4 linked regions of the Schizosaccharomyces pombe genome follow. The protein of the gene in region 1 interacts with the protein of each later gene in a biochemical or structural test. Each region holds a gene or a part of one and is shown in the gene's direction. Other genes may lie near its edges.

Region 1 (4,990 bases):
AGAAAAGAATGAACAAAAGCTTTCTGTTAACTTAATTTCAAGCTTCAGGATAAGTGATCCAGAGAGTATTCGGTTTTACTCATCTACGACTGCTAGGACTCGTTCCGCAGGTCAACCTTTTGACAATGAAGTCCAAACTTATATAGACACTGATGTTTCTTCAGAAAACCCTTTCATCCAGTTCGATCATATTGATAGTTCCTTTGTCCAACTTGCAACGTATATCGACACCTCTATGATTCCTTCAAGTTTGAAACCATATCTTTCTGTATTTGCTAAATATATAGAAGCTGCTCCGGCCTTGCTCTCAGGTACCATACCTACACCCTATCACGAAGTCGTCAAGCAACTTGAGCGTGACACTGTATCACTCAATGTTTCGCTTAGTTTTGACACATCATCTTGTGGTTACGCTTATTATGAAACTAAACGTGAACTGCTTTCTATAGAAATAAAGGTCACTCGTGAAAATTACGAAAAAGGAGTTTATTGGATACGAAATTTATTAGCCAAAACGGTATGGGATAGAGAAAGAATGTTATCAGTAATAAATCAGCAACTGGCCGACATTCCTTTTCAAAAACGTGACGCAGAATTTATATTACCATCATATTTCGATATCCGTCTATACAATGATTGCTCATTGAAGTACAGCCTAAATACCTTAAGTCAAGAGAAAATTCTTCGCGAATTACGGGATAAGTTACAGAATGATCATTCATCAATTTTTGATGCCTTTCAAAAAATGAGAAATTACATGTTACAGCATCAAGCCATTCGTATTCATGTAATTGGTGACATTTTAAAATTACCTCAGCCAATAAGTACATGGAATAAGTTACTTGATAGCGAATGCCACCGGAATCCAAATATGGAGTTTCTTTCGACTTTCTCTAAGAACTATTTAAAGCCTCAAGAATTTGGAAGTAGCAGTTCCCTTACCGTTATTCCGATGCCGTCAAACGAGAGTAGTGATTTGGTATTTTCTATTCCAGGTATTACCAGCTGGCTTGATCCGTCACTTCCAGTTATCGTCTTGATTGCAAATTATCTAGGGTTGATGGATGGCCCTTTTTGGAATACCATTCGTGGTTCTGGCCTTGCTTACGGATTTAATATGTCAATTGATGTGGATGGTGGTGTGCTTTATTATTGTATTAACACCTCCCCTGATGTCTATAAAGCATGGGCTTCAAGTCGCGATCTTGTAAAATCGCTAATATCTGGTGAGGTGCAAGTTAGTAGTTTTGATTTGGAATCTGCCAAATGTGTATCTTATAGCATAGTATCGGAGCTTGAAAACAACGCAATTTACTCATCAAAAAACTCGTTTACTTTGTTATCTATCAAAGGTCTAAACAAAGATGAAGATCATAAATTTTTAGAAAAAGTAAAGCAGGTCACATTACAACAATTTTTAGAGGGTTTAAAAATTTATTGTTTACCGTTCTTCTCATCCAGCAATAACTTAGCTGTTATCACTTCTTCCTTAGCTAAGATCGAACAAACTGTTGAACAGTTCACAGAGGAAGGCTTCAATGTGAATGTTGAAAGTCTGCATGAAATTCAAGGAATTGAATCAGAATCCGAAGATGACTTATCGGTAGGAGGAAATGATGACAATTAATGAGGCGTGAACTCAACCAAAATTTTTATTTTATTTAAAAAATGATATTTTATAAAATTCCTTAAACTTTGACTCATGATTAATGAAAATAAAAAAAAGACTTATACCAACAAATCAAATAATTCTTCGATGTATGAAAATATATGTGTATATTCGTATTCTTTTTTAGTCCTACAAACGTCTGTCGACTCATTCTATTAACTCGAAGCATCAAAACAAACTAGCAAAGTGCTTTCTGCACTTACTACGCTTTCTAAGGTACCCATTTTCAGAACGGTGCTCTTGTGACAACCACTTGTTAATGATTCAAATTAAGACCTAATTAAATGAAATAATGCTAATAATTTGTGACACGCAAACAGAGTAAACTCAAATACTAAATTTGCTAGTCATCTGGCTTTTTCTCTACAATATCAAATTAATATGTCAGCAATACTACAATATGATTCAGTCAGTAAAGTAAGTGGAATTTTTTCAGTATTTTATCTAACTAAATTGTTTAGGGAACTTATTCAGTGAAACCCAAGCCAACAGAGAGCCTGGGAAATGAGTTTAGTGAAGGCCTTTTTGTTCCTTTGATAGGAGGTAAAGAACCTATAGAATACGTAAAATTAAGAGAAAATCTCTGTACGAAAGTGTTAAATGAGTTAGAAGAAATTACAACTCACACTACATATGATAGTAACGCCAGAGTTTTGAGACAATTGTGTGAACATGCATCAGAGCCAGTAGATGAAACTGGGTTACTTCGAACTGCAATCGTTTGTGATAAGAGTAGCAACTCGATGCACCTAAAGTTTTACGAGCAACTTAAAGACGATATGGAAAAAATTGGGTGGAAAAACTTTGTTGTGTTAAATCTGAAAGCTCATCGTGATTTGAAATCATGTTTTCGAGTAATAAAAGGTGGATCATTTGGACTAGGTGTCCTTTCGTATGACATTGAAAAACTTGATGAAAAGACCGTGTTGGTATTGGAAGATGTAGAAGATTGTGATCGGCGTCTTTTATCTTCTCTTGTGGAAGCACTTAGCTCACTCGTCCGACATTCAAAGTTACAAGGATGCTTATACACAATTTTTAATTTAAAAATACCGCTTGAAATGTTTGATACATCCCTCGATTCAAAATTCCTTAGCAATGTTAAAACCAAGGTTTTTAACATGAAGGCAAGCACGGAAATTCTTGAAAGCCTCTTTACCTCGATTGAGGAGAGTTTGAGTTTAAAATTTGGCTGGCGGACTCGGAGATTTTTTCGCTCGATGTTTTACGAGCGTTCATGGAGTGTTGAGAGAGTTATTGAATGCATTCGCTATAGTATTCTAACTCACTTTTATGGAAACGCTTTGAGTATTATAGAGCATTTGATATATCAAAAAGACTTTCATTTAATATCCCCTCTTCATTTAACCACTCTAAGAACAGTTCCTAGTTTTCAGCGGCACATTGAACAGCGTCTGGAAATTGGAGATTTGGAAAGCATTAACTATGTCGAGAAAATGTTGAATGATGATACCTACTTTCAAGAGATGGTCATTCAAATGTGCGAGAATTTATTATATCGGGAGCGTTTACTGCGCACCCAAGCTAAAATTTGGCACGAATTAGAAATGGCTGTGAAAACAACGACTAGAATTTCATTTGCTGATTATTTAGAGACATTTTTGCAAGGGGACTGGCTATCAAGTCCTCAGTACAAAAGTATATGTCAGGCAATTTTAAGAATGAATTCTACCAAAGCCTTGGCTTGTCTGGATTATTTAAATGAAAACATATTTACTGGAAATCAAACTATGAAGTGCTTAGAAATTCACCAGGAGCTTTCTGAACTCATTCGCAACTCTTCAACTAATTACTTAGAGCCCGTCGAGGTTCGAATGCAAAACTATAGTGGAACAAAGCATACAAGAAAAGTTGTTGAATCTGGCTTTGATAAAAGCATAATTGACTTTTCTAAAATTTTGAAGAAAATTGTAGGATTATTGGACGAAGAAGTTCAATATGGATGCTTGGGTACTGAATCTATTGATATGTATCCCTTTTACGAAGTGCTATTTTATGATTACTGTCGACCGTTGAATCAAGCATTTGCTTCAGGACATCAAAGAAGTGTGATTCATAGTTCGTGCATGGATCCAGAGTATTATGTAGGAGATGAAAAGAAAATTGACAGCGAGTTTTCTAACGCTGAAAAAGATGGAAAAGATTTGATATCCTGGCTTCCAGATTTATCTATCCTTTATAAGTTATATAGTGAATCTGGTGCATTGCTTAATTTGTACGATTGGTACATAGCATTTTCAGAGCATCTGCAAGCTGGAAAAGAAAACTTGAAAGAGGATGATAACCATCCACGAGAATCACCTCAGGGGAATCTGCAAAGAGAATTGAATGAACTAGATGAGGATAAAAGAAAACTCGAAGAAGCAAAGCTACAATCTCGATTTTTGTTTGGTTTAGAAGAATTGAGGTTTTTAGGGCTTATCAAACCTACCGCTCGCAAAACTGATCATGTCATGAAAACTATTTATCATCAGTAAGGTGCGAAATATAAATTGTGTATAACCTTGCTACTTAAAAATGCTAGCAACTCACTTTTTTCTCTGTATTCAAGTCTTTTAGGTTCTCCCAAGAAGCCTACTTTTTGTAAACAATTAAATGTATATCTCATTTTGAGCACTTTGTCTTTTGATTAAATTGAAAATATGTTCTTTCTCTGTTGGCTACCTATACCGATAGAAACAATAGCACGCTCGAAAATTGGAATCTGATAATCTGTCAGATTTCGGTGCTTATCATATTTATTACAAATATTCTATTCTAGCTAAGAAGTCGTCAGATCAAAGATAATTTGTTGTGTTCCATATTGCTCGTAGACCAGCCTATAAACCATTAATCGTAGTATTGTGATATATAAACTGGCGGTTAGCAACTTCGGATTCAGTATTTCGCAAATAATTCGCATTATAAAGAAAAAGATCAACTCATAAAAACTTACTTTATTTTGTTTTTTTATCCCACACCTGTATTGTTCTTCTATAACGATACATAATGAATTACATAATATAAATTTTGGGAATTTGTCTCAATGGCAATGATATTTATTTTAGCCCCAGATTTATTGCTACTTATATTGTGACGTTTCTCACGAATGAACGAACATGGATAGCGCCCTAAGTTACACTGTTGAGTATGTGCGCATACGAAGTCTGTTTTCGACTACAAACAAGCTGCTAGACACCTTCAAATTTTCAAAAGTATACAATGACACCTGATCAAAACGCTTTAGTTTTAAGTTTTCTCTTGACCGTAGGTGGTCTAATAGGATATTTGCGCAAAAAAAGCAAAGTATCATTAATCGCG
Region 2 (5,838 bases), on another chromosome or scaffold:
GGTATTATGGCTACACTTATTCACATAGTAATAAGTAAATTGAAACAGTGCTCATCTTTTGTAAGCTTTCAACTGAATAAGCAAAAAAAAATTCTTATTGTCATCAATGGACTTCCTTTTTTGGAATATGACTCGTCCTTCAACGAATGTTTTTGGTATTGAACAATGCTAGTCTTCGGTGCATACTTCTTCTCTCATCTATATTCAAAATTATCATTCAATTAAGCACATTTTTTTTCTTTCTCAAGCCATTAGAATGTTATGCAAATCATCCATTTTACAAACCAACATTAGCATGGGTCACAAAAGTCACATTGTGAGCAACAGAACATTTCTATTCATATAAAGCATTTCCTTGCTTATTAAAAACGTTTGAACCTCTTTTGTTTTGCTAAGAGTACCTTGCCTATTCCTCAGAACATATTGGATTTCAGCACGAAGAAGCATCTGGTCTGTTCAAATCCTTAACACTACTCCCACTACTTGCTTTTTCCTCGAAAACCACGCATAAATATTTAGTCATTATCCATTATTAACAATTATCATTTTTAAGGATTTTTAATCGTTTAAATTCTTGGTAATTTACTGATGGTAAAATGTCTATGCGATTAACTTTCAAGGGAGACAAAAAGATGTAAGATAAAATGAAATAACTGCTCGAATGTGGTAATTCATATTATATTGTTCATCACTAACAAGAAATCAGTCAAAAGAAGAAAAAAAAGAACACAAAATCACTTCAATCTTCTCTAGAATCAGCTGAAAACGATCCTTTTTGGACGGACGCAAACGAGCTAAATGAGCTTGAGGGTCCAGCGGTTATATAGTAAGCTTAACTTCAATATTCTTATACCTTTTTTTCTAATTTACTTACAACTTTATGTAGTAAAATAGACGATGATGCTGGTGTATCTCTTGGAATTGAAGAAGTTAAAGAAAGTTGCGTTCTTCTTCCCCTCGACAAAGTTTCGCTAGAGCCAGAATTGACGCGCCAGGTGTTTTTGTTATCCATACTGAACAATACTATACTATTGAAAAGCTGTTTAGGTAAATACATGTCATGTAGTAAGTCTGGAGACTTGTATTGTACGCAAGAGGCGGTAGGATCACAGGAACAATGGATAGCGGAGAATCTGGGCTCAGGATTTTGGGCTTGGAAAAGTGTATCAACGAAAAAATATTTAACATTAAGTAGAGAAAAACAAGATCAGGCCATTGCATGTGTCTCTGACACTGTCATTCCTGAAGCCAAATGGAGAATTCGAGTACAAACTCGTTTCCTAAAGAAAAACAAGTCTTCTTTATTTGACAACCCAACCATACATTCCAGACAATTAGAATCTATGTAAGTTATGCTATTCTATTTTATTGGGGTTTCCCTTCTACTTTCGTCATTCTAACTTTGTAATTTTACAGGGCTGGAAGAAAACTTTCTACCGATGAAAAAAAGACCCTCAAAAAAGCGTTTAAGGAAGGAGTTCTTCATGAAGCATTACTAGATTTACGAGTATCTTCAAGGAGCGACAAATATGGTTAATTTTTCGGATATTCTTGATAAACCATTAATATCTTGACTTACTGATTAATGTACGATTACCTGCTGGACCAAAGCTAGCAAAAACAGATTTGATTTTTTCTCTTGAATTTTAGGCACCTTGTATAGCTATTGAGACTCCTTTCAGCTATTCACTACTTTTATGTATGAATTTACAAAGCTTTATGGTAATTACTCATTTCAAAAGTGAAGTGTTTTACTTCATTCCTTAATTTTAACGAACTATTTTTTTTTAATAAAAAATGAATATTTAATGAATCTGTTGAAATTCATTCCCTTCATACATGTATGGTTTTACAAATAAATGCAACAAGTAAATAATTATAGTCATCAGCATCGCTTGAAAAAGATTAAAATAGTTTTAGATTATTACTACTATTACCTAGTCATTATTTCAGCTTCAAAAATATATTTCTATACTGGCCCTGTCCTTAAGGCTGTACGCCAATCTTACTGCTCACCTTTACCAAGAATCGAAGTAACACCCTGCATCTGTCAAGTCAAGAGGAAATTGAAAAAAATAATTAGAAAAGAGACCAATTAATTGCATTTGTTAATAAAAAGGCTAAATTTAGAGGATCATTATTTTTACAGTGTATAAAAACCATAGGGATGTGCATCTTCAAGTTTTTAATATGAGCTCATCCCCATTCACAAATCTTGGGAATTTGGACACAGAAGCAATCTATGAAAATAAGGAAAATGAATACCAGACAAACATAACTAATGAGACCTCAAATGTTCAAAATTTATCAAGTGGTAATGATGATCAGCAGTATCCCAATTCTACGAATGATGATGCAAATAATGGATTAACTGCCTCTCAAGCAAAATTGCAAGATATTGCCGCTGTCACTTTATTTCAGGATAATAATATTTCAACTACGACTTTAGCTCCGCCTTCACCTTCACCTTTGCGTCTCAATGAAGCTCCTCGCAGACGTGGAAGACCTCGAAAATATCCACCAAAACCAATTGACGAAGGATCGGAGCCTATAATCAAACGGAAGCGTGGCAGACCTCCAAAAATAAAAAGTTCTTCTCCTTCCACAAAACTAGATGATCCCTTAAAGCCTAAAAGAGGTAGAGGACGTCCTCGTTTACATCCTCTCCCAGTAGTGCAACCGTCTGTAGATGAGGGAACAACTCAAAATAATCTACAGATGGGGTTAGATGAGCCGAATATCATAGAAGGTTTTGCCGAAGGGCATGCCAATTTAAGTGAGCTGAAGCCAAAGAGAGGGCGTGGACGACCTCGAAAAATAAAACCAGAAGAAGGGAGCTCAAGTCAAAATGGGCTTTCTCCTTTGGTAGTATTACCTGCGAAAAGAGGGCGCGGGCGTCCACCTTTACATCGATCTGAACAGAAGATTGCAAATACTCCAATTTCGAATAATGTAACGGTTGAATCGACAGGTACAAATCTACATACTCATTCACAGTTGAATCCAGAAAATGAACAATCTTCTTCTGAATTCTATTCATTGAATCCACAATCTGAAATACGGAAGGAAGTTGTAGTCACAGATCAACCTTTATTTTCTACTGCAGACGTCCCAGTAAAGCGGAAACGTGGACGACCTCCTTTAAATAAGCCCAAGATACTTTTTGGGACAAGTACTGAAAATAAAATAGATGAAAATAGACCCAAACGAGGTAGAGGAAGACCTCGCCTTGAAAGACCGAGTGGCTTGCCTTTAGATTCAAAATCACAATCCCTTTTTAAAAGAAAGCGTGGTAGACCTCCAAAAATAGCTAGTGGAATTGTACCTTTAAGCGCCTTTACTAGAAAACATGAGGATATGCTTCATGACTCAGACGCGTTGTCACTTAAACATTTTGCTATTACATCTCCTAATAATCAACAGTTCCTTAATAATCAACAGCGAGAATCAGCTCCGTTGCTTCCTAGAAAACGTGGACGACCACCGAAAAAGCGTCAAGAGAATGCGGAAATTCGTAATATCACACCTGGTTTAACCGATTCCTCTGTTCACTCCTCTTCAGCAACTCCGCAATCCGAATCTTCATCACCCAATTCAGTTTCTCCACTACTTCCTTCATCTGACAGATTACCCCTTCTTCGACAATCTCAATTTACACCTCCTCCCAAAAAACCTAATTTCGAAGTTGCTATTATTTCTCCTAAAAAGAGTCAGCATAAACTTTATCCTAATCCTGTCGTTGAGTCTGTATTTAATGACGTCCCATATTCTGAAATTGACTCACAGTTACATACTATTAAATCTACGATTGCTGCAAGGTTGTGTGGGAAAAGCCATATCCCTCTTGTAGGACATATGGATGAACAGACAAAGCTTTATCAATGGGTCCGACAAACTATAGTACTTGGCGAAGGTAATTCTGTCATTATTGTCGGTCCACGGGGTTCTGGAAAATCAGTTCTCGTGGATGATATACTATCACGCGCAGCTCAGGAAATAAATGAAAAAAGTTATGTCGTAAGATTGAATGGTACGTACCAGACAGATGACAAACTAGCTTTGCGTGAAATATCGCGACAATTATCTATTGAACTTGAATCTATCGAGTCTGATGAAGCATTAAAATCAGAAATGAACTTTTCTGATACACTTACAAAATTGTTAGCTACATTGTCTCATCCCGTGGATTTGGGAATTGCAGAAGACGTAATGACAACGTCTGCAGCCGTGATATTTGTTTTAGAAGAGTTTGACCTGTTTGTTCAGCATTCACGGCAAATGCTCTTGTATAACTTGTTTGACATTGCTCAATCGAGGAAAGCCCCGATACTGATCATAGGCTTGACTACTCGCTATGATTGTTCTGAATCACTTGAAAAGCGAGTAAAAAGTAGGTTTAGTCACATGGTAATTCCCATGCGACCACCTTCTTCGCTTAGTGAATTTGAGCAAATTTTAAAATCTGTTTTGTATGTTTCTGACGAAGGCGGAAAAGACCAAATAATAACATGCTGGAACCAGAGAGTGGATGAATTGCTTTCCGATACACGAAGTCACTTACATAAATTGGTACAACATCACTATTTTGCAAGCAGAAATTTAAAATTATTGTATGTTGATTTATTATTTCCCATACTTTCCATGGCACCTGATCGTCCATTACTTGCTGATGAAGACTTCGCCAATATCAGTCTCAAAGTTTCTGACCATAAGGTTGAACTTGTAAAGAATTTAAGTTTGTTGGAGTTGGCTTTATTGATTTGTGCAGTTCGCTTTGAAGCTAGGGATATTCCAGCTTGCAACTTTAATAGTGCTTATCAAGAATATCGACAACTGCATCAATCTTCCGTTATAAATGCCGCAGCATCGGGAGCTCTAGCTCATAGCAGTCGATTATGGGGAAGGGATGTTGCTTTGGAAGCATGGGAAACTTTAGGGTCTATAGGATTGATTATACCGGTTCACCCTTCTACTAATGTTAGTGGTGCCCTTTCTAGACAATGCCAACTATGGCAGCCAGAAGTGGATATCAATGTAGTTTCTGTAGGTTTGCGTGAACATCGACGTTTGCCATCGCATTATTACCGCTGGCTTAAGGAGGTTATATAAAAGAATTGCAATTTTTTTTGTTTCTGTTGTATTTTATTAACTTTGTATCCTTTTTAAATAAAACAATATAAGAAAGGCAAAAATAAGGACGACCGTGTTGAAGGTTATATACCATTACACATTGTAGTTATTACCGATATTTGATAAATAAAAGTTTTAATTTTAATTGATTAAATATTTGCTTCTGATAAACGAAAATAGAATTTACTTTTTTGCTATCAGCGCTGGTTAAGCTGTGAAAGAAGCTGGTCTCCAAATATTTATATTAGATGACTTATGAAGGTAAATCAGTAATCAACGGATCAATGAATACCTAAACATTTTAATGATAGTTTTTGTTTCAGGGTCACTTTGTACTAATGTAGAAAAAAAATTTTGGCGGAATATTTCATGAAAGGTGGTAAGAAAAACAAAATAAATTAGATTAAACGAAAGGACTCATCAGTGGTACTTTTAAGCCCAAAAAAAAGTGATAGCACATAAGGAATTCACGCAGTTTAACTAACTTAAAGATATGTCATAAAAGTTTAAAAAAAGCATCACAATAACAAGATTCTCATTATAAAATCAAAAACAAACTAATATTCAATAAACTGCTAATTGAATATGAATTTAACCAATTTATCTTTTAAACGAAACACTAGCCTTAACGAAAGCAGGAAAAAACAGCCTGCACTCGTTGTAGGCACCGTACAGTATTGAAACAATTTTGAATTGAAGCTGAGATAA
Region 3 (4,347 bases), on another chromosome or scaffold:
AAACTGTTAATCTTTTAAGGAAAACTCTAAATAGACCCTTACTTCATGAAGTTGACTATCACGGAAAAAGTCTTGAAATTCTTGATATGTTGTTGCAGAGCAGAAACAGTATGATATCTTCTTTGCGATCCGAACTACAGGAAAAGAATCAAAAAGATAAAAAAAAAGAAGTAAATAAATTAGAAGAGAAAATGACTAATGCTAAAGAACCTAATGTGAATGTCCCTTCTATGAAAGCGTCATCAGCTATTTCCGTTGAGACGCCTGAGACAATTGAATCAGAAGCTTCAGTGGACCACAAGGAAGCATCAAAGATCATAAAAGATGTAGAAAAAGAAGAATAATTGATTGCCAACCGATCTATCTAGATGTTTTCCAAAAACGGAACAGATTTTTGGTACTCAATAGATGGCTATATGCAGCTTAACTATAATGTTTAGAAATGTATTCAGATCCATAAACTTTTTTACGAAAAAAGATAAAACTCCGAGCTGTCTAAGGGTATTGCTTATTTGGCTCATTTGTTTACGATTTTATCTCTATTGGAATTCCACCAACGCCACGGTCTAAAAAAAAAATGGGAAGCTCCAAATCCTCAAAGAAGGATAAGCAAATCCATCCTTTTGGAACAGATGTTTCTACTTTTCGAAAGCTTTCATCAAAGGAAAAAAAAAAACTCGGTATGTTGGGCAAGTTTCTTTAAATTTCATTAACATGAGTGTTCAGATGAAAAAGAGTTAAAACAATACAAAAAGCTAAAGCATAAAGTTAAAAAGCTTAAGTATGTTTTTTAATGCTTTTTATTAAATCACTACTTCCCACTCTAACATAGTATCAGGAAAGAGGAAAGGGAAAGATCGAGTATAAAAAACACCAAAACTCTAGCGGAGGATCCTATGGGTATGTATATTAAGCATTAACAGTAAATGCTCGTTAACACTGAAAAGTAAAAAACGTAGCTGAAAATGATCATGATCAAATGAAAAACTCGTTAAGTAGGAGTCAGGATAAGGGAAACACTGACTACTGGCTTGCAGCGAGTTTGTCTGGTGGAAATCAACGAAAATCAAAATTTTTAAAAATGTTGGGTATAAAAAATGCTGCATCCATCACTGAATCGTCTCCGTCTGCTCAATCTAATAAAACAAATGACAAGCAGAGAGAGAAAGAACTAGAACAACAATATATGCACGGTGTTTTACACAAAGGAACAAAAAAGGGATTGGGCATGTAATTTGGGGTTTATGTTTAGTTTATTCTTTTGGATAATTACCAAAATTCTCATCTTCCTTTTGTTAAACTAGCTTAAAGTGTTCACTTGCATTCTAAACTAGAGGAAACTTTGCTATGAAATTCAATTTTAGTGAACATTGTAAGAGGTTTACTTTTCTTTAATCGAAATGCTGTTTGCTTTATTGGCCATTAGCACCAAAGATGGTATGGTCCATCAAAAATTCGTTCGTGGGACCTCTGTTATCTTTAGGGATAATTGAAAAAAGATTTTCTAATTTATTAAAAGAATTTAGGGTCTTTTACTTTAATTTTACTAACGTCGTAACTAAATTGGAATATGAGAAGGCATTTCATATCTTTGAGGATGAGTCGTTATAAAATAATATCATTACCTGAATATAAACTTATAGAGTAAAAAGGTTCGCGCGTAGAACGCGACACGACACGTAGAGTTGAACGCGACATCTCATTTACTCTTCGTGATTAATTAGATTTCGCGTTTACGTGTCGCGTCGCGTATATTTATAAAAGACATATCTGCTCTTAAACAAAACTTAAACACCAAGCACGAAGTTAATATTACTTAGTAGCCCTTTTATCAAATTTACCTGACTTGTCTATTGGTAAATAACATAATTAGTAAACGGGGTTACTATAAAGTATCGATATGTGTGAAACTCCAATAGGTTGTCATACACCTCGAAGATGCAATCGTTTTATAGATTCTGCAGCCTTGATTGACTGTACTAACAAAACTAATCAAAGGGAGCATTCACCTTCCTTTTCAATAGAGATTCCGACTACACCCAGCAGAAAACGTACGCTGGCTAGCTCACATTTCCAAACACCCACAAAAAGAATAAAATATGAACTAGGAGAACTGCAAGAGGAGAAAACTGACCTTTATCCTAATTTTCCTGCTCAGTTAAAGGAGAATAAGAAACCTAAATTACCCACAACACCTCAAACTCCTAAAACCCCCAAAAGGACCATTCAAATTGTTACACCCAAATCATTAAATCGTACATGTAATCCTGTTCCATTTGCTACTCGCCTTTTGCAATCGACACCTCACCGTCAACTTTTTCCTCCCACTCCTTCGACACCCTCCACTCCGTCCTATAATTCTACTGCCAAATTGAGTTTACGTAAATCATATCGTTCAGCAGGAGTCGTGGGTCGTGAAAATGAGAAGTCAATTGTGGAATCTTTCTTTCGTCAACATCTTGATGCTAATGCTGGAGGTGCATTGTACGTAAGTGGTGCCCCTGGCACAGGAAAGACCGTTCTGCTTCACAACGTGCTGGATCATGTAGTGAGCGATTATCCCAAAGTTAATGTTTGTTACATTAATTGTATGACTATTAATGAACCAAAAGCAATTTTTGAAAAAATTCACTCTAAAATTGTTAAAGAGGAAATTTTAGAAAATGAAGATCATCACATCAATTTCCAATGTGAACTAGAGTCGCATTTCACCCAGTCCGCCAATGAATTATATAACCCAGTCATTATTGTTTTAGATGAAATGGATCACTTGATTGCTCGCGAACAGCAGGTTCTGTACACGCTTTTTGAATGGCCCTCTCGACCGACTTCGAGATTAATTTTGGTAGGCATTGCAAATGCCTTAGACATGACAGATCGATTTCTCCCTCGTTTACGAACAAAGCATATTACTCCCAAATTACTCTCTTTTACGCCTTATACTGCTCAAGAAATCTCAACAATTATAAAAGCGCGTTTGAAAACCGCCGCTACCACATCAGAAAAAAACAATCCTTTTACTCCTATTAAATCAATCTCTGAAGTAAGCGATGATAGTATAAATGTTGTATCTCAGCATGCTGATGAAACACCTTTTATACATCCTGCTGCAATTGAATTATGTGCCCGGAAAGTTGCAGCTTCAAGTGGTGACTTGAGAAAAGCATTAGACATATGTAGGCATGCAATTGAACTTGCGGAAAGAGAATGGAAAGCTCAACATGACAACACATTATCTTCTGTTGATATACCAAGAGCATCAATTGCTCATGTTGTCCGAGCGACATCTGCTATGAGCCAATCTGCTAGTGCTCGTTTAAAAAACCTTGGTCTTCAACAGAAAGCCATCCTTTGTACGCTTGTTGTTTGTGAAAAAACCTCATTGAGTGTTGCCGATGTATTTGAAAAATACAGTTCTTTGTGTCTTCGAGATCGTTTGATTTATCCATTAACAAGTTCGGAATTTTGCGATGTCGCGAATTCTTTAGAAACTCTTGCAATCATTCGTTTGCGCACGAAGCAGCGTAACGGAAAGCCTCAGGACCGAATCATTAGTTTGCTTGTTCCAGAAATGGATGTCATTACAGCTGTTGGAGACATTGGTACCTTAAAACGATTTTTTGACAGAAGATAGTACTATCATTTCTTTCTCATTCTTTTTTTCTATTCATTATATTTTTATTTCACGCGTTACGGTTTTCAAATTTTGCCGAAAGGATCAAATTAGAACATCCTTTCAATTTCGTTGTTTGGATTACATAAATTTGAACAATATTATTTATCCAACTTGGTGTTTAAACTTTTCAGGTTGATCTTTACTAATTTTACTAACTATACAATTAATAAACACTTTAATCTAAGTTATATCTAATGATTATTCGTAAGAACGCATACCCGTGGTTCAGTCTCAAGTGGTGGTATAAGTAAACTTACGTAGCAAAAGCACTTCTCAATTTTGGGGTCTCTAAGAAAAAATATATACACAAAACTGAATATGATTGACAAAAATTTATAAGACGACATAGTAATCATATAAGCTGCGGAATAACAGTTACTATATCTAGCTAAAGCTTGTTCAATTCTTTTATTCTATGAGATTAACATCTACGGAAATTCGATAATTGATTTGATAAGATTCATTTGCCGATATCTTTTCTAAAGAGTCCACAAAACAACACGTCCGTCGGTACCGCTGGAGGTAAACGCAGTAATATTGCCAGGAGTCCCAGCGTAAGGTCGAAGGGTTGCAATCATATTTTGATGAACGGTTGGTAAAGACGAAATAGACTGGCTGGAGCCCTTCAAATCCATGTTACGGAATGTGCTACGAAGAGCAGTAAATGAAAC
Region 4 (3,469 bases), on another chromosome or scaffold:
CGTATACAGCATTACAACTCCTAAAAAAGTTTACACAATCTTCCATTTCTTCAAATGCTAGTGTGTTAGCCAAAAATTCCATTGTAAGAGAAGGGCGATATGCTTTGCACATCATTATCATCGCCTGCACTCGTTCTCTCTCAATAAAAAGATCCATCAAATAACCTCCCATGTTGGGAGCGACTAAATATAGATGGAAAAATTTATAGTAATCGCCAGTAGCCATCGCCGAACGGACTTCTAATGCATGTGTAACAGCAGCGTTTGTTTTGTCTTCTTCTTTTAGATTGGCGAGAAGGCTATTCATTTCTATAAATTGTTAATAATTTGAATTCAAAAGATATATTCTTTTAAGCAGTAAGCCGTAATTAACTTACCAGATCGATTTTTAGTGAAGAGCATATACAGAATACGATATGCTAAAAATTCCTTAGTATTCCCTGGTATACCAAAACTGTAAAGATGAAATAATTGAGTTTGACATTGGTTATACTCGCCAACATCACCCTAGTCGAACGTTAGAAGAAGAAATGATATTTTAAAGTAATTAACCGTACCTTTTCAAGAGCTATACGAGCATGTATTTCGTAAACTAATACAGAAAACTCATTTTGAATCCTTTGCACAGTTAAATCCTGTCTTAAACTTTTAAATTGATCGCATATATATGCATAGTTTTTCTCTTCTTTCCATTTCTTCTTTAAAAGTTCGAGAGTTTGCTTAAGAACTGGAAGGGGTCGAACAGTATCCGGATCAGGAGCCGAAGTTAATCGCAAATACCTTTTCTCTAATTCTGTGGACCGTCCTATAATAGCACCATTCTCCGGGTTGACTTTTAGCTCTTCAGATTTAGCGTTATTTTGAGAACGAGAACCATTTTCAAACCTTCTTCTTCTTTTTTCTTTCTTATCCACTTCATCTTCTTCACTTAAAAGTGAAAATTGATTTCCAGAAACAGGCTTCTCAACCTTTCTTTTTTTATCTTCGATGATTGTATTTTGAGCATTTGTCAGTTTCCTTAGGGATTCTAAATTCATAGAAGACCAATCAACATTCCATATGTTTCCCATTTCGTATTGACGAGAAATTAGCAATTTTACTTCATCCTCTAATTCTGGCTGGCTGTTTTCCTCAGCGTCTTGGATGCATCTACCAATAAATTCTTTCAAAGAGTCCGGCCAAGGGCTATGATGTTCTTTTTTCATATTTAATATTTTTCATTGAGCTATATGATTAATGCTAAAGTTAAGTACTTTTCTCAACTTCCTCAATTGCTAAAGTGGTGAGTACCGAGATTGTATGAGAAGTGCGAGTCCGTCAGCTTAACCCTGTCAGTAACGTTGTAAGTCGATTTCATTATCCAACCTTTCAATCAATAAGGATTAATTTATTACTATTCAGTTGATCGTTCATCATTTTTTCCTTTAAAAATTTAAAAAGTCATCAAATAATTCAACGGTTCCACCTAAACTTGTTTGTTCGCTTAAAATTTATGAAACCAACATGGAAAGTAGTTAATATTAACTCACGCTATTCACGCATATTTTATTCTGTATGCCTCATATAGCCTTGATTAAACTACTAAAAGAGAGTAATATACCGAATTATCAAGCCTAAAACACTACCTCCCAATAAAGCAATCGTAATTCATTATTAAATAAAAAAAAATTTGAAGACTGCTTCGAAAGTTTTGTAGTAATATCTTGAAGAATGTAGGTCTAAATTCTAAGCTTTTGGTGACATTATTTAAGATAACTAGCAACCGGAATGATTAAGCAAGAGTCATATTAAATAAGTACGGAATATAAACACCAAATTCAGTGGTGCATCAAGTAGATAGATTTTATATTTTTGAAACAGCTGGTAGTATTAGCAGCATTAAAAACATCGTTTAAATGTCTCTGTATTAAACACCATATTGACATAAAACAAACTAAGCGTTCACCACTATTATGATATTATGAATGATTACATGATTTCAATAATTAATAATCAAAATTAAATGATAAAAGTTTTATTAAATATATTCATTTTCTCATGGAGCGACAACAGATTATAGAGTCTTTACGCAGAATAATTCCCACTGAAAGTACAGAATATAATGAACGGCTTATTAGTTTAGGAGAGTCATTTTTGGAATGGTCCAAATATAAACATAATCTAAAGGCGACAGAAGAGTTATGCCGTCCTTATATGGCAGCGCACTTAGCTTGTGAACTGTAAGTAACTTCTGATGTTTAATTACTCTACTTGAACTTGTTCTGACTCTTTAAAAAGATTATCCAATGATTTAAATTTGGAAATAAATTTACTAGCGACTCCAATTCCAAAAAAGAAATACTATAAACTTTTCACTTACTTTCAAGAAATCTTATCTCCATTAACTAAATCCTTAGCAGCTAAAGATGATCTGATGGAAACCATTACTTATCTTTGTACCAAACTAGGGGGCTCAACTGCTATACCTTATGTTAAACAATTGGTGAAAGCCGTTGTTACAAACGACATGCGCATCGAACACAAAAGAGGCATCATAATCGCAGCTTATTTACTAGTATCGGCAAAAGCTTTTGGAAAAGACGAACTTCATATAAATCACACCGAGAGAAGAAAGGCACAGAGTGTTTTACAGGATACAAGTTCTGCATTGCAAATTCAGTATTGGATGCATGTCCTCTCAGAAAGTTGGCAGTATAAAGAAATCCCTTTAAATGGTATAGAGGGTTATGAATCTCAAAAGCAACGGATAAAACCTTGGAGTGGGATAGCAAGCATGATTCAAATAGATTACGAAAAACGACTTCAAAATTATCCAATATGGAAGGCCTGCATTGAAGAAAGAATCCAATATTACAAAAGCCAGCTTGAAAAAGATGGTACTGCTTCATGAATACAATTTACTATATTAATTTTTTTTTGTACATTAAACAACATTTATAAACGGGTACACGATATCTTTAGTGATATATACAAATACATGAGTAAAAAAAAGTTAAATTAGACTCTAAGCTTTACTAATAGACCACTCCAAATTTGTAATAGACACTTCTGAAGAGGCATTTTCATCATAGTCATACCAATCATCCTCTAATACTATTTCGTCAAAAAGTGTATTACTTTCAGCACCATTAGCTATCCATTCTCCCTGAGGAATGAATTCGACTAGTTCACATCCTCTGCATTCCAATACGAGAACTTTTTTCGTCTCTTGAGAATCATTGTAAGGAGAGAATGGCCCCTCTATAACGAAAGAGCAAGTTTTGCGACAATTTTTGCACGTCCATATGAGATTAGCCTCGCCCTTGCTGCCAGGTATGCTGTGAGTCTCGCTGCGGGAGATTTCAATGGCATTGTCGTGAATCTCTCGACAACCACTACATTGGACTTTAAAAGCATAATAGAAGGATTCTTCATCCTTGGGAGCTAAATTTTTCACACCAGTCAACTCAGCGTTTAAGTTAAGAGCAAA

What was found.
Region 2: the proteins of orc3 (region 1) and orc4 form a complex in vitro, tested with the Schizosaccharomyces pombe proteins (3 studies listed by BioGRID).
Region 3: the proteins of orc3 (region 1) and cdc18 form a complex in vitro, tested with the Schizosaccharomyces pombe proteins (one study listed by BioGRID).
Region 4: the proteins of orc3 (region 1) and orc6 form a complex in vitro, tested with the Schizosaccharomyces pombe proteins (2 studies listed by BioGRID).

The regions. Positions count from the first base shown.
Region 1 is NC_003424.3:1,928,225-1,933,214, reverse strand, and holds orc3 (origin recognition complex subunit Orp3), read left to right. Parts: upstream 1-1,911; 5' UTR 1,912-2,050; coding exon 2,051-2,086; exon of another isoform or gene 2,087-2,130; coding exon 2,131-4,167; 3' UTR 4,168-4,444; downstream 4,445-4,990. Other genes in the region: sdd3 (metallopeptidase), read left to right, coding at 1-1,627; SPOM_SPAP14E8.05C (uncharacterized protein), read left to right, coding at 4,892-4,990.
Region 2 is NC_003423.3:2,023,353-2,029,190, forward strand, and holds orc4 (origin recognition complex subunit Orc4), read left to right. Parts: upstream 1-2,035; 5' UTR 2,036-2,190; coding exon 2,191-5,109; 3' UTR 5,110-5,324; downstream 5,325-5,838. Other genes in the region: FRG1 family mRNA-processing protein, read left to right, coding at 597-634, 707-826, 887-1,345, 1,417-1,537. UniProt on the Schizosaccharomyces pombe protein: Component of the origin recognition complex (ORC) that binds origins of replication. It has a role in both chromosomal replication and mating type transcriptional silencing.
Region 3 is NC_003423.3:2,215,427-2,219,773, reverse strand, and holds cdc18 (MCM loader), read left to right. Parts: upstream 1-1,789; 5' UTR 1,790-1,900; coding exon 1,901-3,634; 3' UTR 3,635-3,819; downstream 3,820-4,347. Other genes in the region: protein tam10, read left to right, coding at 578-680, 727-781, 839-900, 948-1,234; arc1 (ARP2/3 actin-organizing complex WD repeat subunit Sop2), read right to left, coding at 4,156-4,347. UniProt on the Schizosaccharomyces pombe protein: Part of the checkpoint control that prevents mitosis from occurring until S phase is completed. Plays a key role in coupling S phase to start and mitosis. Acts at the initiation of DNA replication and plays a major role in controlling the onset of S-phase.
Region 4 is NC_003423.3:2,965,318-2,968,786, forward strand, and holds orc6 (origin recognition complex subunit Orc6), read left to right. Parts: upstream 1-1,935; 5' UTR 1,936-2,037; coding exon 2,038-2,219; exon of another isoform or gene 2,220-2,276; intron 2,277-2,277; coding exon 2,278-2,890; 3' UTR 2,891-2,945; downstream 2,946-3,469. Other genes in the region: iss9 (nuclear export factor), read right to left, coding at 1-309, 378-507, 558-1,205; protein ess1, read right to left, coding at 3,005-3,469. UniProt on the Schizosaccharomyces pombe protein: Component of the origin recognition complex (ORC) that binds origins of replication. It has a role in both chromosomal replication and mating type transcriptional silencing.